2 linked regions of the Bombyx mori genome follow. The protein of the gene in region 1 binds, or shares a complex with, the protein of each later gene. Links are inferred from orthologs where the notes say so. Each region holds a gene or a part of one and is shown in the gene's direction. Other genes may lie near its edges. The genes, in order: cleavage and polyadenylation specificity factor subunit 6 and cleavage and polyadenylation specific factor 5.

Region 1 (13,228 bases):
GCAAAGGCTCACGATACAGTCTGCAACTAACTATGTGAAATAAAAAACAATATGAATATCAAATTTATTCCTCCACACAAGAACTGTGTGAATAATAACATACTTTTGAGTTTCAATTCCCAGCCTTATTTAGTATCTTTGTGAAAGAAGGAAAAATGTTTTCAGTCTAGTTTTTGTAGTTCTTTACACATGTATAATTTCAGTACCTGCAATATATGTAGGTAAAATACTTATATTTTGGGACGCTGAATCCATAAGCCCATCAATTTATAATTCTAATATTTGGTTTTAAAGCAACTGCATAAAATTGAGTTTTCTTCAATAAAATTTTGGCTTTGGGTTGTGAGTATATGCAATAGTGTTTGATACTAAGTACTTTTAACATTTAAGCTTACAAGACAAAATAGTAGTATTAAATTCCAAAAGTTTGTACTGTGTTTCGGAAATTGCTTGTTTCTCATTATTGCATATTATTTGTTTTATTTTAATTACAGTATACTGTTAAAGTTTGGTATCATAGAAGGCACATTAAAATTCTGATTGAGTATGTGTGAACACTAAACACCTAAAAAAATCGATTTGTTTTCTAATGGAAACAGTTTTTTTGGACTATTTCTTGTACACTTAGTGACTGGTATTTTTTCAATTTATTTGAACTTATGAAGTTGATCTGAGTTCAGTGGTAAAGGGAACTTCCTATGCCAAATTCACATATTTAAAAATGAAAAGAAAAAATGATATTTGAATAAGTCATATTTATACTATTAATCGAATTTTAGAGATAAAAGCATATTTGTTATTACATGCCAATGTGAAACGTTAATGTCCAATATGATTGATAATATTTAAATGGTACACGAAAAAGATGCTCAAATCAACAAACACCTGTGAATCCGTCCAAAGTAAAGCTACATACATAATTTGACGTACACTGGACGAAAGATCACAGCGAGAGAAAGGAGTTTAGAAACAAAAAAAATACAATGACCTTACAGAAAACTTAACTTTTCAATGTTATTTATTGAAACTTACCTTATCTCCGGGTATATTTTTTGCCGACATTGTGTATCAGCTTCCTTTTCTGTGATCCGACGTCGTGTTGCACACGATTTATCCAGAGAAAGGATCTCACTGCAACCGTGAGAGCCCAGCATACGACATAAACACTTCACTCTACCAAATCACTTGGCCATCATCACAGCTCGAAAGATATATCAGAAGCACAAACACAATAAGCGACCCATCGTTTGGAGTCGTAATTAACACGATTTCCCATTGATATTCATCAACACTAATAATTTTTCACAACACGACACAAACACGACTTCTGACAGAATGTAACTTGATTGAGATTGGCTGACTTGGGCTTGACGGAAAATGGCGAGGGATGTATTTCGTCCCTCCGGCCGCACTCCCCCGCGCATGCACTCTGCTTGGGTCACATACAAAGATTTTATCGGCTTGATACAGAGGGCGCTTCGCAACAATAACATGCACCTTCTTCATTTATTCGGAGCGTTGAACTTTCAGTACGAGCTCTAGATGTCTCTGTTCCAGCATTTTCATTAAGGGGGTCTAAAATAGAGGATTGTAACCATAAAAATAACACATAATACAGTTTTTATAATTTAGTGGCTTTTAAAATCACTTACATACGATTTGTGAAAGATTAGGGCAGAAAAATTTAAGAAAATGATAGAGATGCTTCTCGAGTTCCCAACCCATCATTTTTCTCACGGGATTGTTAAAAATTAATAGAGAAAACTTGAACTTAAAAGTTAAGTTTCTAGAGTACGTAAACACGAAAAAAAAAGAAATATTGGGCTGCCAGCATGGAGTTAATAAGTACCTACAACTGGAGTGCTGTCTAATGCCGAGAAATCGGTCTCGAAAGAGAATACTTTTTGGTCGCGGTGTCCTTGTCTAATGTGGTGACCATATAAAATTTATTTATAGGACAAAATTATACACATGCATCAGTTTTGAATTTACCTTAAGTAATTCTGTGTAGCCCTACGTAAATACAAAACACGTGCTTGCAATAGTTTATTTATGTAAATTCAATTCTAAACATTTTTCGACGGTTTTTTTTGGAAATTGCTGCGTTGTGGAAAATCTAGCACTGAGTTTTATTACAAACATCATTACCTCAGTTCTATTACTTAAACTTCCTCAAATTCATCTTTAACGTCCGAATACTCAACCGCGACTTAAATATTATGTTGAACTTAATTACGCAATTCCTACTTTAATGTACTGGCTAAGTGGGCTGTGCAAATTAATATTTGACACACTGAGTGAGACACTGCAACACACATTATCGGGTGCTCTTTTCCTACATTCACATCTTCAATTGATTTAAAATTACTTGTATTTTTACTTCTGTGCTATTTTCATGACACGTGTATATTATGTCTACTAGTTGCATTTTAGGAAATAAAACACAATGGGTAATAAAATGAAATTAACTAAAATTCATTTATTTGTTATATGTAGATAATTAAATAACTCTTAAATGACAAGTCAATACACATAACACAATACACATAGTACTTGATCTCTATTTACAAAATATTGGTTATATTATTATTATTATTAAGTTCAGTTAATTTTCTGTAGTCTTATAATATATTCCTCTATTTTAAGTAAATTCTTTTTTTTCAAAGAAATACATAATTTATTTTAATTAATATCTAAGTGGACCATGAGTATCATTAAAATTTCGCAATTTAAATTTCAATTCAATTAAAAATTGCCATTTTTCTTTAATAAATCTTTTAAGTTTTTGTTTCAATACCTTAACATCTTGTCGTAATTTTGCTTTTCTCGGGGTATTTTTTATTTCTTGCGTTTGAGTACTTGATTCCTCTTGTTTGACCTTTATATAGGACATTTTCCAGAAATTCCAACGTTATACTTACTAGAAGATCCTCCTCGTTCGCTTAACGTCAGGCAAATGATATACATGCTTGCGTGCAACGCTATTCAATACAATAAAAAAAGTTCAAAAAATACCACATGATGGCTCTTATGATATGAAAAATACATTGCAAAATTATAGTTTTCACGATTGTTTTTCCAAATTTAGTATATGACATAGATTAAGTACAATTTACAAGACAAATGGTATTAAATATTATAATGAGAAAAAATATCTCACATTTTAAAAATATATGCTCACACTAGTAAAAATTTATCAATGAATCTGACATATGGAAGGATATTCCACAAACTGGAGAGGATTCTCGCTTATAACCACTTACAATACAAGTGTTCACCATGATTACACGGAAACTTTCACGATTTTCGAAAAAAAACAAGCCACAAGCTGTATCAGTGCCCTTTTAACTTCGAACTACAAACGTAAATAGACGCCATTTTTCTTTTAATGCATTCATAGTTCTTTTTCGGTGATGCCAACAATTAATCTGGCTTCCCACCAAATTCAACATGAAAACCATCAGAAATCTACGTACCTACCATTAAATTTTCCATTAAACAGAGTTCTTATTAATATAGAACAATAATTTTTTTGTTAACGAGCTTTATTAATATATGATGTTCGATTAAAAATCAATATCTTCTTTTTCTCCACCTTATCCCACTATGTGGGGTCGGCACAGCTAATTTTTCTCTTCCATTCTCTTCTATCAGCCGTCATCTCAACACTCACTCCTCTCTCTCTCATATCGTCATTCACACACTCCATCCATGTCTTCTTCGGTCGACCTCTTCCCCCTCTACCTTGCACTACCATTTCCATACATCTCCTAGTCACATGCATCTTCTCTCTACGCATCACATGTCCATACCACGCTAACCGTCTGCTCCTTAATTTGTTGTTTACCGGGGCCACTTTCAAACTTCCTCTGATATACTCATTCTTTATCTTATCCATTCTTGTCACTCCACACATCCATCTCAACATTCGCATCTCGGCCGCATGCACTCCTCTTTCATGCTTAACTTTCGTCGCCCAACACTCAGATCCATACAGCACGACAGGTCTAATGATCGTTTTGTAAATTTTACCCTTGAGCTGAAGGGGCATTCTACGATCGCATGCTGTTGCAGAGACCTGTCGCCATTAAAAATCAATATATATCATATAATCAATACTTCTTATATAATTTATTTTAATAAATTGTCATCATCAGAAACTAATTTCACCATAACTTTGTACGTTTATTTTGGACCAATTCAATTTTTGACGTTGATGGAAATTCTAAATTGTCGCAACATTTTCTAGTTAAGTTTAAGTCAAAGTCACATCGTTTAAATAATATGTATTTAGATATATTATTGTCATAAAATGTTTAAAATCCTGTAAAGTGGATTGATTTTAACCTTTTCGATAATTTTCAACAACGCCCAAGCTACTAAAAAATCCACTAACCACTAAAAGCCATTTTTGATAACTAAGATAGGGGTCCAAATTACGAGATTTTGTGGAAAATCCTCTAAGCTAGCAACACTGCTTTTTGTTTGTAAAATGCGCGAGAGGGACACCACCACTTAATAATCATTCTCTTTTCAGACCGTTTTTCCTTACATCTTTTGCTATTTAAAAATAAACTTTAAGTCATAGAGATAAAGTATATTTTTTGTTTTTATGTCAAACGAAGTAAGCACTCCAGTTAGGATAGTAACTCTATGGCTGCCAGATACTAAATTTAGAAAAAAATATCAAATGAACAATCGCGTAATCGCTTCGATGGTTTTTATCCTGTTACCTACCTATTTTGGTTAAAAAATTATCAAGAAATGATACCTTTTTCAATAGCTGATGACTGGTGCCCAAATTGAACATTTACTTCAATCCAGATTTACACCAGTTTTATGAACATATAGGTATGCTATGAAAGGTTTTAATGTATTAATAGAGTTTCAAGCAACGTTTCCAATAACTACTACAATTATCGTCCGTAGGATACAAATTATACATATCAAATATAGAACACCTTGATCAAGTTGACTTTTTTGTAATTGAGTAATTTTGTCTATAATAATATATAAGATCGCCAGAAATATCATCAAACATGTTTGTATTTTTAACACTCTTATTCTACGTCAGTTTCAGATCATTGCTCATTGGGTGGCAAAAACCAGTGCTTACTTTACTTACTGATCAAATGCGAAAGACAATTTGCCGAGAGTTTTCTCTTATGGCCTCCCCCGTACGTGTTTTTAAAAGTGTAGTTGGCTACTATTCATATTCTTTTAAACTTTTACTTTACTTTTTTTTGTATCGGTATAGGCTAAATCAGTTTCATAAGTAACAAAAGTAATAGTTATTTTCAATTTTAAACCTTCAACTATTACTTATATGTAGCTAATATAATTTTTTAAGCCTTAAACCTAAAAAATAATAGTTGTTTAATGTACATAATTTTTGTTTTTTTTTTTTTTTGTACACTAAAAATGTGCCCAAAATAATTTTGAAAACATTTTCAACACGACCATTTTACGTGGGAATTCGAAAATATTGTGTTAGCTTGGCAACATTGACCCAAATTCATGGGGTCGGGACTTTTTGGCGGGAACGCGAGGAGTGAAGTTGTGTGATTTGTTTTATTTTGTCTATTTAGTGTTTCTTCAGGTTTAAATGTGTAATAATGGTGGTTTATTAACTGTTTAATATCTGTGAAAGTGCACAAATGTGGGAAAATGAAACAAAGCTGCTGGACGTAACTTCTCGGGTTCCTCCAAAAAGTCCACTAAAAAAATCTCAGTAAATGACCACCATTTTACTGCGATTATATTTCATCCCATATCATCTCATTTCATTAAATTTCATCCCAGTTGATTAATGTCTCAAATTAATCATCTTCATTTCATTTCACTCCATATTATCATTTTTCATAAAATTAAGAAAATAAAGTAAAATAAGACATGACTTAAAGGTCTTAGTTACCAGGTCATAAAATCTCTTAAAAAAAAAATTTCATGGGGTCGTAAGTAGGAGGTAGCATTTTTTCACAACTTCGTAAAATGGCGGACGGCGATGTCGATATAGATTTGTACGCCGATGATATAGAATCCGATTTTAATCGCCAGGTAAAATTTACACTCTCCTAATTCAGTACACCTAAACCTTACAGATAACTCTTATAGAGAAATCGTAACAGTTGTTAATCTATTTTTGTCACGATGAATGGCGGCATTTTACAGGATGAATTTGCTGGCGAAAATGTGGATTTATATGACGACGTGATCTCAGCACCAGCTTCGAAGCCCGAGGACGGTGACGGTCCTCCCATCATTGCTCCAAACCAGCATCCACCTGAGGAAACTAACGGCAACGCCTCATACCACGGCCCGGTTCACGGACATCATGGCCGCCGTTTTCAACTTTACGTCGGCAACCTAACATGGGTTCGTACTTTTTTGTCCTAGACTATTTGTAAATATAAGTACGATATTAGTTTTTGCGTTGTACTGAAAAACTGATATCTTTTGAGTTGTCATCTCGTCTTTCAGGGCTTCATACTATCAATAATTATTGATTTGCATCTATTAGCCGCCATGCCATGATAAAAATAGCACATGCAATTGAATTTGAGCTATCGTTCATAAAGTTATTTAAAAAAAATGGTTTTTGGTTAGCATAAAGCTAGATTAAATAGTTTTTTGCGTTTAGTTCAAGCTCAATAATTGTTATTATGATGGCATGTTAACTTCAATAAAACAAAATATGAAGTACATACATTTATTATTGTGTATAATACATAAAATATAGTAAATAATAGCTAACAGTTTTATAGTAACAGATCTATGAAACTATGATAGTTATAATAAAACAACGTACTTGTAAATAATATATTTATAGAAATATTAAAGTAGTATGTACGTTTAAAAACAGAATGTGGAGAACTTAAAAACCTGTTCAGATGACAACTCAAGCAACAGCAACCAAATGGATCTGTTGTGTAAAATGAGTTACGAAATATTTAATTTTTAATATTTGTTAGGATCTACTTTTAATTTTGCAACACACATTTATCTTTTATACAAATGTTAACAAATTATGTTTAAAATTTAAATTCACAAAATCACTGCACATTAAGTTTTACTGATCACATAGATAAATGTTTGTTGTACTGAATTAATGAAACAAAAAGCAACCTATATCTTATATTATGTGTTAAACTAATAATACCAAGAAAATACTGTATTTATTTATAATTATTTTACAAAAAAAGGCACAGTCAATCTATATTGGTGAAGAGCTAAATTTTGATAGAAAACAAGTGTTTTTCCATGAAATTGTATTATGTACAAATATCAAACAAATGTGTGCTTTAATGTTTCACGGGAATTTAGTCTGTCCATAACTAGTAGTAGATAAAGGTGTGTACGGCTCTCAGTCTTAAATAATTATAAGTTAAAAAAAACAATTGTTAGTTTAAATTATCAATAAACCTGGAAAAAACTGTAACAATGAGGTACTTGTTAAATTGATTTAAAAATTGTTAAATTTGTTTTCAATTGTTTAAACATAGGATTAGTAATATAATGATAAACTTTGCGAAATACATAATCAGAAACTATAAGTGAATAAATATAATAAGTAAGCGCGAGACCTGTCATTACAACTGTTATGAGATTAAGCAGGAAATTGTATGTTTAACTTTAAAACTTGAAAAATCATCCGGTTTCAGTATAAAAATACTGTTAGTGCTATAATTATGTACTTGATCAATGTATCCTAAGATGTTTTAAAATACCAGTCTTCAAATACATATATTAATAATTATAATATATAGTTCAAATAAAATATTTTTGGGAAAACTAAAAAATAAAAAAAAGTTTGGATTTGATACTGGTACAATTCCATGGAAAAGCCCTTAATAAATTAGTACATTATTTGGTTGCTAATTGTTATCATTAAATATCACTTTATTAAAATTATATTTTTGTTGTTGATGATGGTAAGTATAAGAAAATTATACAAATGGTTGATATGCTGTGAGTTACGGATTTTTGTGTTTTAGTAAAATTTAACTTGGAACTTCATGTTCAAAGTCATGAACTTGCAGTTAAATTCTGCTAAGAAAAAAGCAAAAACCAGAATTTTCTTTATTTTTTACTTCATGATGAAGAAATGACTTGTTTTTGTTTTTAAAGGCTTGTACAATTACGATCTGTTGAGGTGAAACTGAAATTTTCATAAAAATATCACGAGCTTTACATGTCAAATTAGATCACTATTTTCCACTTAAACTTTGAAATGTATGTGACATTCACTAGAATTTTATTTTCTTAATGAAGTTGAGAAATTCCGAAAGGACAATTGAATATCAGAGCTATTTACAATCACACATGGTGATACAGTTTGAGTTACGGATTTAGAGCATTTACCGATTAATTAATGGTAGGTGAATTTTGAAATCTAGCAATGCATTAATAAATGGTAAAGAAAAGGTTTGTAATGAAATTGGTTGTATTTAGTTAGTAACTCCTTCATGGTAATAGAAAATTAAAATTGTGTAGAATATAAACTGTTATACTTTGCTATACTTCCTCAAGCTCTGTCACCGAAACATGTAAATACCTCTCTTATGGCCATGTAGTCTCATCTGCACTATCACTTTGGAAAATTTGAGACAATCCTCAAATTCTACAAATGATATAAGGTAGTTTTTAATGGTTTAAACTTGACACCTGTCTACGTAAACTGCGCTTTCTGTAAATATAAGTACAAAAAGAAATTGAAAAAAAAAGATAATTATTTAAATTTTGTGCCACATCATTTCTAACTTGTTCAAATTTGCTGCGTATGTCCATTTAAATTTATCAACCTGTGTTTCTATTTTTTGTTTTTTTTTTGTCAAGCCGTTTATTTATGCTTCTTTTATATTTTGAAACTATGATTGAAAAATGCACTCTTGCTATTTTACCTGGTGTATTGTACATTACGATTTGCATTTAAATTTAATTTTACATTGATTTATGCTACCCTCCCAATGTTACAAAAGGTGAAACTAAACAACTAAAATATTTTGTAACATAACATTTAAGTTAAATATGATTTTAGTTGTTTTAGTAATGCAATTTATTGTAAATTATTTCATGTGGAAAGCATTACATAACCTTTCATAATACTGCTAAGTTATATTATATTCTTCCGTTTGTTTTGTACTTCTACTTTTGAGGCTATCTGTTGTCGAGATAGAGCCAAATCGATAGCAAAAATATACAGACAGTGAGTTTTACAATAAAATCATATATATCATCATATCATAAAGATACTAGCAGTAGAAAATGAATATCATCAAAATCGAGTTGGCGTAGTTTACGTAGATGGATTCTGTTTGTGTACTTAAACAACACAGATTGCAGTTATATTTTGCATACAAGTAGATGTGGGTTTGGTAAGATTATGTGAGAGATGAAGTATGAAAGGATGTATAATCTTATTTATAATAGTTGATGTACTAATTAATATAAATACCATTTTTGCCCATTAACTACACTACAGTAACTTGCTTAATTATGATGTAACATGTCTGCAGCAACAAGTTTTGAAACCGTTTGTGTGATTTTGTACGCACACAAAATTTTGATATATCGTTCCGAAAATGTTGTTGTGTTTATTTATTGAATATCCATAAATTTGCGGTTTAGTCAGAAAAACAGTTACCTGTATCAGATTATTGATAGGCTAAATTAGCAAAAAAAAAAATAAACATTACATAGTCATCACATAGTACATAATAGAATCAGTAGTGTAAAATTGGCTATTTGTCCCGCTTGTGTTTGATCAATAAATTGGGATATTGAGCTGAAAGTTTTCACTTTCTGACATCCCCATCTGTAATGATTTGTTTATTCTTTTATCAGGTTTGTTACGAGGTAAGGTAATTGATTGTATTGTATTTATAGTTTTTTAGTAATTATTTTAACATATGTTTTGCTATTTTTTTGCATACATCTGAAGATTTTCGATACTTATGTTGAAGAGATATCAACATTCTTGTGCGAAATGTAGAGGCGAACAATAAATGTTGTAATACGTAACAAATAAAATAAATAAATTATATAACTCAAACAAATCGCCTGGTCCAAACTGTTTCGTCTGCTCTGTGCAAATTAATCTAAACAATAATGTAGGTAGTTTACAAAAAAACCCCGCGACATCAACTGATTGTGTAAATTATAAATAATATTTAACACTTTTTGTATGTGTGTATTTTAGAGTATTTATTTTCTTTGTAAAGGATACTTTCAACAGCTGTCGTTTCAAGTTTTGTTAATTGCATTAAATCTATCTAGTATCAGTGCATGGATACGATAATTTTGTTATCTGATTTGCACACAAAAAAAATCAGTGTGTGTTTAGCCACATGTTAAATTTATTTCTTCATTTGACTTGTGAAATACCATTTACAAGTAATGTGTTCATGTTATAATTACCTTGTTAATGGTTGTTTTCCTTCTAGTTTTTTTTCAGTATGTAACCGTTGGAGTATTCGGAGTTGTAAAAAAACTTTATAATGCAAATTATCTGTGATAAAGAAATAAATAGTATGATCACAAAAAAGCTCTTTCTTTTCACCCAAAGCTCTATTCCGGCATATTTAATGATTTAGTTGATGAAAAGTACATTGTAGATTTTTAATTCGCGTCAAAAGGTACACAAAAGTATTCAAAATATTTTTATTCACGTTAATCATCGGATCTACTATGAGACGTAAGCGCGGTGTTGTAAATTCACTTTCTCGATAATTCGGTGTTAATGAAAAAAATCTTAATACGGCGTGTGAACGGCGCTTTAAATTGAACCTTACCCCGACCGATTTTGTTTAAGTGGCATGTAAGTGGACTGGATGGCATAATAAATGATGTATGTGACTTGTGTGTATTGGCTGCCTGTTTGCAGCGTGGCTGAGTTTTGTGTAAAACCTTTTCCAGTGGGCAACGGACCAAGATATTGCGAACGCGATCTCGGATGTCGGTGTCTCCGATTTTCAAGATGTGAAGTTCTTTGAGAACAGAGCCAATGGTCAGTCCAAAGGATTCTGCGTTATATCTCTCGGTTCAGATCAATCAGTCAGGATGGTGATGGAACGTCTTTCTAAGAAGGAGATACACGGGCAACATCCAGTAGTTACATTGCCTACTAAACAGGTAAGGTCAATGTTAACTGATACAAAATATGAGCATAATAAGTAGACACTAGATAGATAGTTTATGATTAGGTACTTATGAATTGCACAAATAGTTTCATGATGAATATACCTAGTAACCTTTCCTAGTAATAGATTAGTTTCTGCAAATATGGTTTCGGGCAATGCGTGAGTCGCGATGAGGTGTTGAAACGTGGTTTAAATTAAAACAAAAAAGGAATTTACATTTTTTTTAATAATGGATCTAAAGTGGTTAATAAACCTTTTGCAACATTAAAGCTTTCAATAATGTCCGAATCGTTTTCACGGAGGCTACTCATTGAAAAAATCCGAAAAGAAAATTTTGAATCTTAAACCACCGCGACTTTGTAATGGTTATGGAGATTGGCTTCTGTTAATTGATTTGCAAACCATTTGGTAAAATTGAGGAGTAAATAGCTTCGGCCATATGATAGCTATTGACTTCCACATGGTTTTGAGATGGTGGACAGTAGTATCTAAGTTAGTATTTGTAATTTTTTTGTCCATCGGTAATTAATATAGTCTACCGATATTAATCAAAATAATATAATAGTTTTAGCAGCGTAGGAAATATATAGATGAATTAATTCGGTTCAGTGAAAGTAAGTAAACTTTGATAATGTCTACAGGCGTTGAATCAGTTTGAAAGTCAGTCAAAGACCAGGTCGACGCCTCCTGGTCCCAATAATCCTGGAATGAGAGGACCCCATCCAGGCGGGCCGCCTGGTCCTCATCCCGGAGGTACATATTGTAATCGTATACTAATACGTCTCGATAAAATATTCGAAACATCAAAAGTAGAAACATATCATTATTATTCTAAAGTCGTCGTGGCCTAAAGGATAAGATGTCCGGTGCATTCGGAGCATTACTCTAGCGATACACCGGTGTTCGAATCCCGCAGGTGGGTACCAATTTTCCTAATGAAATATGTACTTAACAAATGTTCACGATAGACTTCCACGGGGAAGGAATAACATAGTGTAATGAAAATCAAACTCGCAAAATTATAATTTGCGTAATTACTGGTGGTAGGTAGGATCTCTTGTGAGTCCGCACGGGTAGGTACCACCACCTCGCCTATTTCTGCCGTGAAGCAGTAATGCGTTTCGGCTTGAAGGGTGGAGCAGCTTTATAACTATACCTTAGACCTTAGAACTTATATCTCAAGGTGGGTGGCGCATTTACGCTGTAAATGTCGATGGGCTCCAGTAACCACTTAATACCAGGTGGGTTGTGAGCTCGTCCACCCATCTAAGCAATTTTTTTTTTTTATTGACTAATGGGTAGTATATGGTAACTAAAGGGGTGATACCCCTGATCACAGCGCTTATAACGACGCCCAAATATGGTGCACTTGAAAACATAAAATCGTAAGAACCCGTTACTATATTCGCAGAATTTTTTGGTGGGGGACCGAACGGTCCAGGTGGGGGCGGACCTCGTATGATGCTCCCAGGTCCGGGTCCGCACCAGCTTCGTGGGCCGCCGCCGCACCACATGGGCCCACACCAGGGCGGGCCGCATCCCATGCAACATCAGCCGCAGCCGCACCAGGCCCCGCCACACCGGCCCCCTATGCAGTTTGCGGGCCCTCCGCAGATGCAACGCGCGCCGGGCCCGCGTCCGCCGCCTCCCGACTGGGCTGCGCGAGCGCCGCATCCTATGTCTCAGCCCGCGCCTCATTATGGACCCCCCCATCATGGAATGCCGCATCAGATGCCACCACCTCATCCTGTATGTATATACTGCACACGTGATTACTATTAGGCATCCACATCATCCAAATTTATTATTTTGTATAGAATAAATGCAATAAATTTAGATGCCGTCAGATAGCCGACGAAATTCATGTAAGGAGGTCTTTAAACATACTTTTTCGAATACTAACTGAGCATTGGTAATAATATGACGGCGTCGTCTCCTTAGGCCTTCTTAATGAACTCTTGATTGATACGAATTTCATCCTCATGTGTACAGCTCATCTGCTCTCGTATTACGTGATCGTAAAGAATTATTTTACGGCTCATATTGGGGGAACTCGCCCCTTGAATATTCGCTTTGCAAAAATTTCAGAT
Region 2 (13,194 bases), on another chromosome or scaffold:
TACCATGAGTCGTGGAATTTTGAAGATTGGGAGAAGGAGAAGACCGAGGACGACATGGAGTATTATGACTGGGATAATAATGCTTCAAAGAGGAGTTTGATTGATTGGTATCTTCGTGTTAAGAATGAATTGAAAATCATGAATGATGAAGAATATAAAGCATTTGATATAAGCCAAATAGAAAATGGAGCCCAATATAAAGCGTCTGTATCAAAGTATATGAATGAAGGTGAAAATCCACAGACCGTGCAAGAATATAGTATCGCCGTTAGAAAGCTGTTTGGCTTGCCACAGAAGAAATTAGTTTAATGCTTTTGTATTTAAATATAAATTGTAGATTGTACATAATAATTATTGTTTTATTTGTGGTATTAATATTAATGTTATTAAATTTAAGTGTTGGCATGTTCCAAATTAATGCTGGATTTTCATTGAATTAATAGTATTTTATGCTCTGCTGACACAAGATGTTTTATGTAACATGAGGATTTCAACAACAAGTATCATGATAATTATGTAGTCTTGATTAGTTGATAATTTCGAATTTCAATGATATCTTCAATATTGCTGTGAGGGTTTTGTGTGCTTTTTATATAAAAACTGAATATCCCATACAACCTGTTTGCAAATGCTGATGTTACACATACAGGTTATTGGTAAAAGTGAGTGAATGCATGTCTTTGCCTTTTACTTGTGGTAGGACCTCTTGTGAGTCCGCACGGGTAGATACCACCACCCCGCCTATTTCCTCCGTGAAGCAGTAATGCGTTTCGGTTCGAAGGGTGGGGTAGCCATTGTAACTATACTGGGACCTTAGAATTTATATCTCGAGGTGGGTGGCGCATTTACGTTGTAGATGTCTATGGGCTCCAGTAACCACTTAACACCAGGTGGGCTGTGAGCTCGTCCATCCAAGCAATAAAAAAAAAAAAAAGTAACAGTACAGTACCAATTCCAAAACCACTCCCGGAATGTTTTTTTTAAGCATTTGCTTAACAAAGTTTTGAATAATTATACATTGATGATTCAATGAATGATTGAAAGCACAATTCTCGCTGATAGGCTTGGCCGTAGTCTACTTACCATCCGGTACGACATATTAGCGTACAAAGAAAAAAAAGGATATATTTTGTTTTATTAAATTTATTTTGGAATGTTACAGGTTACAGATTAAACTTAATGTTTCAAACTTAAACATTTAAAATATACATTAAAATCTTATAGAAAATTACAATGCCCAACAATGTAAATATTTAAACACTATTAAATTAATACAATAAAAGTTTCACATTCAGCCATTCTACTATAGAATAGAATAAAATCGTTATGTATAATAGAATTTCTACATTAGGATTTTATCCACCAGACACACGAGAACATTGGCCAAACATGACGCCGACCGTAAACAGATTGTACCAGAGAAGTTAGAAAAAATTATTTATAACAAAAAAAAAAAAAAAGAAGAAAAATCGAATTAAACCGTTAGCGAATTTCAAACGCATGCGGTACATATGTAATCTTGACTGATCCTTCAATCTCTTTTAACATTCACGTTAGATAGAGATAGCGAAACTAGTCTCTTACGTCGCACTCTGTTCTATTGAAATTAACAAACCCTCTTATTAACTGATAGGTATTCAACTTTAGTACAATGTGGTAATCGGCTTCTTGATATGCCCTTATTGCCAGTTTCAATTTTTTTTATCTTGAACTACATATGTGATGTTATAGTTAAAATAGTAATATGAAAAATTTGTTGGAATGAAATGAGATGCAATTGATTTATAAGCTTGGCAGCGGCTGGGCTCTGCCCCTGGTATTGCTGAAGTCCATGAGCGATGGTAGTCACTCACCATCAGGTATGCTCGTCTGTGCCTCCAAGAGCAATAAAAAAAATACATTTGAGACTTATCAATCGGAATTAAATTAAATGAAACAAGTTGAGATGGGATGAAATATCTGGTGATAGGACCTCTTGTGAGTCCGCGCGGATTGGTACCACCACCTTGCCTATTTCTGCCGTGAAGCAGTAATGCGTTTCGATTTGAAGGTTCGGTTCGGTTAGGTTTTATTTTCGTTACGGAATTTCTTGATTCGGTCGGATAAAAGCTATGCAATAGCTTAATAATAACTGAAAAATTACAATTCTTCGATTACGTTTTTGGTGTTTACCAAATAATAAGACTTTTGGATTAGGGCAATTCAATTCTAAAGGTGCGATATAATGTAATCTAATGTACAATATGTGAATTGTTTTATTTTATTAAATTAGTGTTTCCTCATGTTTAAGCTTTTACTAATAGTGGCACCTTAACCGTTTAGCATCTGTGAAAATTAACACTTGTGGATTAATGAAACAAAGACGCCAGTCATATATTTCATCCCGTCTCATCTCCTTTCATTTAATTTTATGCCAATTGATAACAGTCTCGGATAAATCCACTGCATAATATTTCGCTCAAAAACATTTTTCATATAAATATTATTTTAACTATAAATACCTACTAACATAATATCGCTTATTTGAAGATAAAATAAACTCGAAACTGGAAATAATGGCAAACCAAGAAGACAATTGCCATAATAAAAAAAAGAAGACGGGAGAAAAGAACACTTCGAACGCCTTTTTTTTCTTATCATTAATAAAACAACTTTATTCCTTGACAAATAAAATTATTGTCGCCATCATAATACAATAATTTTAACAAAGAAATTTAGCGTCTTCGACAATTTATCCTCAAGACGAGATTTTCATCAATGTTTTCGTAGTCAATCAAATATGCGTAAAGAGATATGAGTTCTAAATCGATATTGTATGTTATAACCGTTGCCCCATCCTTCAAACCGAAACGTATTACTGCTTCACGGCAGAAATAGGCAGGGCGGGGGTACCTACCCGTGCGGACTCACAAGACGTCCTACCACCGGTAATTACGCTAATTATAACAAAAAAATTTGAGTTCGATTTTTATTCAACAATCTTTATCATTCATTATGGAAGAATTAAGTTCAGTTTTTATACAAAAAGAGATATTTTATTTTAGATTATATTCTATAACTAATCTATATTACGTTCTAGATGTCTATGGGCTCCGGTAATCACTTAACACCAGGTAGGCTGTGAGCTGGTCCACCCATATATGCAATAAAAAAAAAGATTACATTCGCCTTGGGCACCCAATAAAATCTTTTAGTTAGTCTTTATGAGTAGGTAGAAACGATTTACTTATACACTATACACTCTAGCTCTTAGTAAACGAAAAAAAAAACCTTCACGCGTTCATTCCTCCCTAAAACCTCAAGAAAACATGTGTCATTCTTTTTTCATGCATTTCCTGCGTTCTAAAATTATCATATTCTTTAAGGCGCTTGCTATGACATATCTCAGTTCGTGGAATTGACTAATGGAGAGCCGATACGTCCGTATTTGACCGTCTGTTAAGACAAATGTCACTATGACATGTGTCAAAGTGTGCATTATCTCTTTCCTGCGTTGTGGCGAAGGATTCTCCGTTTCAATTGTTGATTGACTGAAATGGAAAAATTATTACTTTTCTTTAATCTAGCTGCTCTAGTGAAGTAGCTTTAGTAACATTTGTCATTTGCCATGGGCAATGCTAATGACTGACAGATACGATTTTTTTCGGGAATACCTTTTCCAAAAGTCGCTTCTGTTCATTTTTACTTTTTTTTCCTTCAGATCTCGACTCGTGACCTATTATTTTTGGTTATCATGTCAAAAAAGTTACACTAAAACTGGTCCCATAACTCTATATGTTACTCTTCTTCTTTGTCCCCACCTTATCCCACTAGGTAGGGTTGGCATAGCGATTTTTTCTATTCCATTCTCCTCTATCACCCGTCATCTCAACACTCTTCTTCTCACACTTCTCTCTCTCTCATATCGTCATTTTTTATTTTTTTTTATTGCTTTGTTTGTTAGGCGAGCTCACAGCCCACCTGGTGTTAAGTAGTTACTGGAGCCCATAGACATCTACAACGTAAATGCACCACCCACCTTGAGATATAAGTTCTAAGGGTCTCAGTATAGTTACAACGGCTGCCCCACCCTTCAAACCGAAACGCATTACTGCTTCACGGCAGAAATAGGCAGGATGGTGGTACTCACACGCGCGGACTCACAAGAGATCCTACCACCAGTAATTACGCAAATTATAATTTTGCGGGTTTGATTTTTATTACACGATGTTATTCCTTCACCGTGGAAGTCAACCGTGAACATTTGCTGAGTACGTATTTCATTAGAAAAATTGGTACCCGCCTGAGATTCGAACACCGGTGCATCGCTCAACACGAATGCACCGGACGTCTTATCGCTTAGGCCACGACGACAAATTCACACTCCATTCTTGTCTTCTTCAGTCGACCTCTTCCCTCTCTACCTTGCACTACCATTTCCATACATCTCCTAGTCACATATAGCTCTATATGTTACTACCAACTAAATTACACTTCTAAATGTTTTATTTGAGTAAACAGATCATAGATATACTTTAGGTTGACTTGAGGAAAAATCAAATAAAAGACCATAAAAATACCTTAAAGAAACATCAATTTTCCATTGTAAGCTCACGACACCTGGTTTCATCCGTAAATGTTTTGGTATATTTTCATACAATTTCTCTGTGCATAGCAACACTGACAGCTCAGACGTACACTCAGGGGAAAAACTGAAAATTAAAAGTATTTCAATATTATTACAGACTACTAGGAGATGTATGGAAATGGTAGTGCAAGGTAGAGGGGGAAGAGGTAGGGACGGTGACATGTCATGGTACTTGGAGAACACCGTGAAGCAGAGAGCTTAATCAAAAGCCAGATGGTCAGTTGCAAAAAAAGATCCCTGCAAATGTTTTGGGGATTAACCATCATCCTTCATTGTCCTTCAATTAGACTAAGTGTTTGTTCCTTTTAAAACAATTAGAAAACTTACATTAAGTCAGATAACATTTTTAATATTTATATTGATTGGATTCACTAAGACTCCTTTTTATTAAATTACTGCAATTGAGCTAACCCCATTACTCTCATGGTTTCCACATTAATTTTATAATGAGAGCCAAACTATCACTAAAGTAAACTCACAAGCACTAACCGCAGCCCATCTAAAAATGTTTTTACATCATCTTGGCCCCATAAGCTTTTGGTTGCCGATCGGAGTCTTGCAAAGTGCCTGACGATAGCTCTGACCGCAGCAAACTTTTCTGCGTTCATTAGACTCGATAATCTCTCATCTTCTATTCCTTCTAATTCTTTAAGAGACACTGCAATTAGAATTATAAGATAAGCTAAGAAAAGCTAATTTAAATTGCTTAAGTTGCAAGATCTTTTTTAATTGCTACACAATCGCTCTAGTCCGTCTAAATAACATGAGTACATATTATATTAAGATATCGTGTGATACATAATTAGTTTAGCAATTTGTCTTAGACATTGGTCTAAGACAATTTTTTTTTTATATATCATATTTTTAAATTACTATACTTATGTGTGTAATCTTATTATTTAATTTAGTCCTTTTTATTTCAGGCTCAAGTTGCCAGATGTCGCTCTTCCAAACAATCCACTTGTTAAAAGTGTACAATGAAAATATAATGCTTAAGGAATCCATGGTATATTCACAGTTTCTAGTAATAATCTGGAGTTTAAGCATTCTTAACTATAATTTAATAATAATCTATTCTTATTTTTTCAACCTTCTTCTTTATTAGTACTTTTCTTTAAAATTGTCAATGGGTGCAATAAAAAAAAATGTGTACATACAAATTACGAATGGTCTTATTTCCTTTTTCTGTATTTCCGGTGTGACTTTCGAAACTGCAGACCATTGTGATATATTCTCTGATATGAATTCTAAATGCTCAGACATTTCTATGAATTATTCACAATAAAACTAAAAAAAACAAAACTAAATGCAATTGCACATTACTTCAAAACAAAAATTAGTTACTGTCAAAATTATTCAAACTGTCAAAGTTAAGGTTTGACTTGGACAAGTCTGTAAGAACTTTTTTAACGTAATCGACTAAAAGCTTAAATCGAGGCGAGTATTGGCCGATGTCGTTTTTGCCAAATCACAACTCGGAGTTACAACACACACCCGTGAACGTCACTAATTATAATTCTTAATAATTCTTATTATTAAATGGCCGAATACTGACGCTTGTTTGTCTTGGTAAAACAATTTTTAGTTGTGATCATCTCTGCATACGCGGTTTTGTTGAAAATAAGATCAAATATAAGATGGCAGCAGTTCAAGGGCCTCCCGGTAACAAACAGTGGCCTGCGCGACCAGGACTACAACATCAAATAAGCCAAAACCCAAGCATGAATTTAACTCTCAATAGGTCTATTAATTTGTATCCGCTTACGAATTACACGTTCGGAACTAAGGAGCCGCTGTTCGAGAAAGACGCGTCGGTCCCGGCGAGGTTCCAGAGGATGCGAGAGGAGTTTTGTAAAATCGGAATGAGAAGGTAAGGTTATGTTAGGAAAGCCGATGTATGAAACGACCCATTATGATTATAAAGAGTACCCACTATACATGTTTGCTTTATTCATTATGAAAATAATAAACATACATATCACTTTACTTACCTAACCATATTAGAACTTCATTAAATACAAAATCATACAGTTGATATCTTATTAGGCTTTTAAATAGCTCTCTCATATACTTAGCCAATCTAGGTCCACTAGTGAAAAGAATCGACAAAAAAATCAGGGCTTGTACTGTAAATATAGACTTAACACTACTAATGTGTGAAGTGTTGTAAATTATGGCAGGTAGATTACATGACTTAAACATGTATAGATGAAACAGTTTCCCTAAAACCTTTTTGCACGCTGGAAACTTGATATTATTACTCGATAACACAGTTTACATTTATGTTTACCTCTAGTATTGATATATAATAATAATAATAGCTGTGGACGAGCCACATTATAATCAAGCCCTTACCCACTTTCTTCAACTGAGTTTATCACATGACTAACCTACAATTAGGGGGGCTACCTATTGAGTGTTGATAACTCTGTTATGGTTCACTGTGGCTTCATCCAATTGCGTTAATGAGTTGTGAGTTTGATGGGATTTAATTACCGTTGCAGGTCAGTCGAAGGTGTGTTATTAGTACATGAACATGGTCTCCCTCATGTGCTGTTACTGCAACTCGGCACTGCGTTTTTCAAGTTGCCCGGTGGAGAATTGAATCCTGGAGAGGTATATCTAGATTAAGGGATTACCTTTATACTATAGAACTACAAATATAGAAGTCAGCCTAGATCCTCTTGTAGACAGAATAGCCTCTGCTTGCATCTTTAAAGCGCAATTTAACTGGGAATAATCATACGATAATATCAGATCCTTCTCAACTTGAGCAGCCTCTTTGGGGTTTGCAACTCAAGAGGCTGCCAACAAAGTTAAATATAGTCATCATTGTCGATAATTTTTGAGTATTATATCATATAGAGCAAAACAACAGAATATGCTACTCTAATAAGAGCTATGTCCCATTTTCTGTTGAGCAGTAATTGTATTCTCTAGTTTTTCAGTATTGTAATAATAATTATGGTTTGTAAAGAATCTAAATTATGTAGTTGTATGTTGAGTACCCATCAAAAGAGATGCACATTCAAGTGTTTCAGATGTTCCTAATAAAAACAATGCGAGACTACATTTTTTTAAAATTCCAGGATGAAATTGATGGTTTGAAGAGGCTTCTCACAGAGACTTTAGGCAGGCAAGACGGTGTCAAACAGGAATGGCTCATTGAAGACACAATAGGTTAGTGATGCTATAACAGTGCTTGAAAAACTGGTGAAAGCTTGAATTTTGACTATTTTTACGTTTTAGCAAAAAAAAAATTTTATGTTTTAAAAAAATGTAATAATATATGTAAACTTAATATATGTAAACTTTCTGTAAACTTACAGGAAACTGGTGGCGACCGAATTTCGAACCACCGCAATATCCATACATTCCGCCTCACATCACGAAACCAAAGGAGCATAAGCGCCTATTCCTGGTTCAACTGCAAGACAGAGCTCTGTTCGCTGTACCGAAGAATTACAAGCTGGTTGCGGCACCATTGTTTGAATTGTACGATAATGCTCAGGGATACGGACCTATAATATCGTCGTTGTCTCAGAGTTTATGTCGTTTTAATTTCATTTATATGTGATAAATGGTATTTAAAGTGAAGTTTGATGAAGAAAGTTTAAATGGAATGAGTTTCTGCAATACTTCTGCAGCTAGACCACAACGAAGCTCAGTGTTAGGCAACTATGGATATCACCTTCCATAATATGTTTACCTAAAAACATCCAATTATTGTTCCAAATCCATAGGACAATTTAGGCTTTCTTCATTATTGAACTTGTATAGATATATGCAAATGGACATTTTTTCTATAGTTTAAGATAAGGTTTTCTATATTTTTGTCAATAAAAGAAAATTGTCATGTTATATCTAAATAGTTATGTGCGACAGAAAATATCTGAAGTGAGTGTTGTTATTAAGAGATGCATAAGATGTTGCAGGGACCGGTATGGATCTTGAGATTTCCCAGAAGAGTCGTATTGTTTTATAACTTGGGGGACTTGGGACAATGTGTACAAAAGGGGTTCCTTAATTTTTTTGACAACTTCAATTTGACAATTTATTTGTTTTTTAACTGCAGTCATGATTTATATAACTTTGATTTGCTTTAAAAATACCTTCATACTTCAGTGTGTTTGAAGATCTTATGCCTTTAGAACTGCTAGCTCACAGATATTTGTTGAGGGATATGCAGAGAAGGGACTTCATTTAATGAACGAATTGTTGAGTTGTCACCATTCTCTCATTCCCAAACTTGGAGCATCAGAAAGAGATAAATTCACCAGCGTTCAGACCACACTCAGCATCCAAGATCCAAGCTGTTCTTTGTCCTCTTAAATTGACTCAGTTGCAGACTGCATACCAATCTGATTATTCGCAATTATGAATTAGGTCAGCTGTTATGATGCAATTTAGACCTTACAGCTCAAGAAATAAAACAGCAGTTTGATTTAATGCTAAATGGCACTGGAGCTAGTTTTGACATCAAGGCCACACGTCAAACTGACCATGACCTAATATGTAATTTCCGAATGCTGAACTTAGTCTAATTTAATGCCGATTCATTAAAATTTTAATTGAAAGTTAACTTGAAGAAACTTTGTAACTAATAATATGTATTTTAATATTAAGCGTATTTGACTAAAACTTATGTAACACAATTTTTACAGGTTGTTTCATTTTGTACCTGAAGAAAGAAGACTGTTTTAGTTTCTAAGTTGTATATATATACATACAGGGTGTAGTTCTAAAATATTTTGTTTTTTGTAGATTTAAGTGATTATCAAGCTTATATTGAGGGAGTGCCTAATCTCGAGTGAAATTTTTCGATAATAATTCTTATTGTCTGAATTATGTTAGAAAAAGCCAATAATACCGGTACAAGGAAGTACAGCACACCCTGTATTTGTTAAAATGCTAGGTTTTGCTTGACATGTGATTAGTATTCAAAAGAAGTTAAGTGCTAAACATTCTGATTTATGTATTCTCATTTTCGAAAATTCATAAAAAAAAATCACACGCTGTATATTTAAAGCACTTTGAGATTTTCACTAATTTTGTTAAACAAAATCGTCATGAATAAGTAATATCTGTCTAAAAAGTGATAATTCGTACTATGAGAAAGTGGTTTACTGTGAACGTCAAAGAATAATTTGTTGTCTGTGATATTGACTGTGATATTTGAACTGTTTTTATTTAGTTATTGCTGTTGTCGGACTATAAGTGATTCAATTGGGAAATTAAGGGTTAGATAAAGTTGACAGCGGGTCCTAAAACTGGATTAGGGCTGCTAAAGATAGACAACAATGTAAGTAAGACGTTTGAGGAGGCCTATGCCTTCCTATGCCGATAGGCAATAAATGAAATGAGAGATATTCTGTAAATTTTAAAAACTTAAATTAACAGTCCTAATAGTCCAGAAAAAGGGCTCATTGATTGTTTGATTGAAACGATTTAAGTACATTGTGAACAAATTGACTTTGGTAATGTCGATTAAATCATAATGCTATACGTTCAAAGAAGTATCCGCAGCGAATCTTGGATGGTTTGTGTTAATTAATTTGCTAAGATTAACTATTGAAGCCATTTGTATGTTTCCGAGGAAGTTTAACTGACTACTCTTGTAGTCCCATTATACTTTAAGAGATGAGTCTCCATACTTTCTTCTGATTTCTCGAGTCTTAGAAATAGTTAAAATTGAAAACTCTCTTAAAAACCGCCAAAGCGCGGGTTAATTTTGCGTTTTTATTGAAATTGAAGTAAAGAGCTGTTTTTTTTACTTTTTTAATTGGAAATTTGACGGTAGTCTACAGAACGATGCCTCCAATGAACACTACTCTAACTCCAAATTCGTAGGTTTACAGGAGGAGCGTTTAAACGAAAAAAGTTGATAAAATTTTTATTATTGCAGATATATTTATGGTTTTTTCTTGTGTGACTAGCTGATTTACTCTTGCTTCGAACTCCATCAATAATGAATTCGTAATACTTTTAAAATAGTGAAGCGATTTGCGTGAAAAACGAAAATTTCATAATTTTGAGTTAGTGTTCATTGGAGGCATCGAGAATGCATCGATGAATTCATTTCAAACGCTCGTCACCGTGAAAACTGTCAAGTATTCGAAACTTCACCAATAGTGAATTGCTATTTTATATAAAACGCGAAGTGAAACCGTAATTCAAGTCAGGTGCTACCGCGATTGCTCTAGACCACCTTAACCACTACACAAGATTGAAGGTTACGATTTAAGACTTGATACGCTCCAGATACGTTCATATGGACCTATCTGATCTACTTAGGCAGGAATAGCACAGGTAGGTAGCCGTACTTATCAAAAATAGCATTGGTCCTCGAAGTTTTGCGCCGGATCCTCTCGGCGGGTCGCGTTTCTGATTCAATAGTAGATGCATTCGCGAAGCAGCCGTCGCGTCGTTGAGGTGTTTGGTCTCCTGCCGAGGCACTCGAGCTGCTGTTAGTAAATCTCACCCCTCCCCGCTGAGCCCGCGCTCCTTCACCTGCCCTGGCGACGCTGGAGAGGCCTTCGGGCCACCAGTGTGCTTAGTCTTTAACGTTCTAGATAGCGTAAAAGTTAACTCGAATTTGTATGCAGTTGGAACAGCGCCCCTAGCGGCAAACGGACGCAAACATCGAACTCCATACAAAGAGTTAACTTTTACGCTATCGAAACCGTTAAAAACCCCTCACTAAGCACACAGTTTTCCTTCCATTCAAATAAAGTTGAGCAGTGCACCAGACATAATTAAATATTTGGCCACGTTTGATACCATTGGAGTGCAAGTACTCGATTTTCAATTTGATGGTAATTTCAATTATTGAATAAAAAGTAATCGTAAAATTTTATCAACATTTTTTTATTGCATTGAATGTAGGAAAATTGAGAAATGCTGTTTGCATTGTTAGTTTGGTTTGATTATTTGGGCTTGGGAAGAGGGGAGTTATGGCCAAACGGGGTAGTTCATTATGCGATCAATAATAAAGACTATGGTAAGTAGAAGAGAGGTAATATATATCGGTCCTTCTTCACGTAGTGTTGACGTCTCATCGTAAAAACCTACGAGATCCCTCAACGCATTGCAAGAACTAGCGAATTGAATTCGCAGTCTTTGTTTCTTTTTCCCGTATCTCCTCGGCTATAACAGGTGCGCACTTCTTTTTATTACCCATGTCACGACCTAGTTTACAAAATACTGTTACGCGCTGGGACTCGGGATAAATAAAGCTTTCACCGAAGTACAGATTAAAACTATTCAACACTTAGAGCACATGGAACACTTTAAAATTCGCAATTCACTTCTTCCGCTTCGAGTAGAACCGCCTACTAACTGCCTTCGTGTCGATACGACAACTCTACAATTATCGAGGTCATTCCCGATACGACGAGTCGTTCCAACTTCCAATATGTGTTTCCGCTATTTGATAATAGATGGCGTTACACTTTCGAGCGTTCTCGGTTTTGCTGGTTCTTTGAATATTTGTTTCTGTTATTTGATAACAGATGGCGTGACTACCGGCGTAACAATACGTTCAGTACGGTTGTCGGTCGTCGAAGGAATTGTCACCCATATTGTGGAAGAGAAATGCCTTACCGCACAAAATCGCATTGCAGTAATTCGTGTCGCAGTTTTGTATATTGTGTGTAATTCCACAAACAATCGTCAACTAAATTCCTAATTTTTTTTCGAACATTGCGAGACTCGCATTTGCACTGGCAGAGAGTGTAGTTTTATTAAGCCACATTAACTTAATGTCTCGCTTGTTGTACACCCACTAGTTGTTAGTATTGCCATCAAAAAAAGGACCGCTAAGAAAAACAAAAAACGAATTTTAAACTTTATTTCAGATTTACATTCACAAGATATTATAATATCAACATTAACGGATATCCAAAAAGAGATATGTGTTAAATTCTTTAATACTCCATCGAATTACAATATATCTGACGGTAAAATACTGTACATCAACAACCAGGACAGACGGAAGACATGTCAAAATGAGAGATATGATTACACGAAGAGTGTCGTGGTAAAATGAACTTTCATTATAATCCTCTTTTTTTTTTCTGGCTTTTGTTACTTATATTTAATAACAACTTTGCCAACGTCAGATGGTGGAGGTATCAACATAATTGTACCAAAACATTTGAGTAAATGAAGGCATGAATGGAATGTCATTTGCAAATCATTTAATACAGTTTAACCTCTGGTCCAGTACGAAGACTTTTTGCGATGCCACTGGTAGTTTTCCAATTACAGAGCATAATGCGACTCAGTGACGCACAATGCCGAATTATGCTGAAGCTTAATTGGAACGTGAATTAGTTTTCAAATGCATCAGCAGAGTGCACTAAGTTAGCACAGTTTTAATTAACATTGATTATTTCTAAGAAACTACGACGAAACTAAAGCCTTACAATTTTTTTCAACATTAAATAATATTACTAACGATAATATAAACAAAATTTCGATCAATGCCAACTTAAAGAAAAAACACTTGTCAATTTTCTGTCACTGAGTCGGTATCGATTGCGAGTATCACGCGAGAGCAGTACTTT

Evidence for each region.
Region 2: the proteins of cleavage and polyadenylation specificity factor subunit 6 (region 1) and cleavage and polyadenylation specific factor 5 are in contact, whole or in part, in a crystal structure (PDB 3P5T), measured with the Homo sapiens proteins. The link is inferred for Bombyx mori from reciprocal best matches to the Homo sapiens genes CPSF6 and NUDT21. Residues at the interface, in NP_008938.2 of Homo sapiens: Trp90, Trp91, Thr92, Thr93, Asp94, Glu95, Lys113, Phe114, Glu116, Asn117, Arg118, Ala119, Asn120, Gly121, Gln122, Ser123; in NP_008937.1 of Homo sapiens: Pro151, Asn152, Glu154, Pro156, Tyr158, Tyr160, Pro162, Ala163, His164, Ile165, Thr166, Lys167.

Annotation. Positions count from the first base shown.
Region 1 is NC_085120.1:8,923,945-8,937,172, reverse strand, and holds the start of cleavage and polyadenylation specificity factor subunit 6, read left to right. Parts: upstream 1-5,897; 5' UTR 5,898-5,991; coding exon 5,992-6,057; intron 6,058-6,171; coding exon 6,172-6,375; intron 6,376-10,914; coding exon 10,915-11,130; intron 11,131-11,779; coding exon 11,780-11,891; intron 11,892-12,549; coding exon 12,550-12,887; intron 12,888-13,228. Other genes in the region: ubiquitin-like protein 3, read right to left, coding at 1,033-1,062. UniProt on the Homo sapiens protein: Component of the cleavage factor Im (CFIm) complex that functions as an activator of the pre-mRNA 3'-end cleavage and polyadenylation processing required for the maturation of pre-mRNA into functional mRNAs.
Region 2 is NC_085117.1:3,154,386-3,167,579, forward strand, and holds cleavage and polyadenylation specific factor 5, read left to right. Parts: upstream 1-6,167; 5' UTR 6,168-6,264; coding exon 6,265-6,497; intron 6,498-7,131; coding exon 7,132-7,243; intron 7,244-7,716; coding exon 7,717-7,807; intron 7,808-7,956; coding exon 7,957-8,204; 3' UTR 8,205-9,255; downstream 9,256-13,194. Other genes in the region: small ribosomal subunit protein mS35, read left to right, coding at 1-309; uncharacterized protein LOC101742918, read right to left, coding at 3,314-3,530, 4,560-4,691, 5,117-5,285, 5,785-5,890. UniProt on the Homo sapiens protein: Component of the cleavage factor Im (CFIm) complex that functions as an activator of the pre-mRNA 3'-end cleavage and polyadenylation processing required for the maturation of pre-mRNA into functional mRNAs.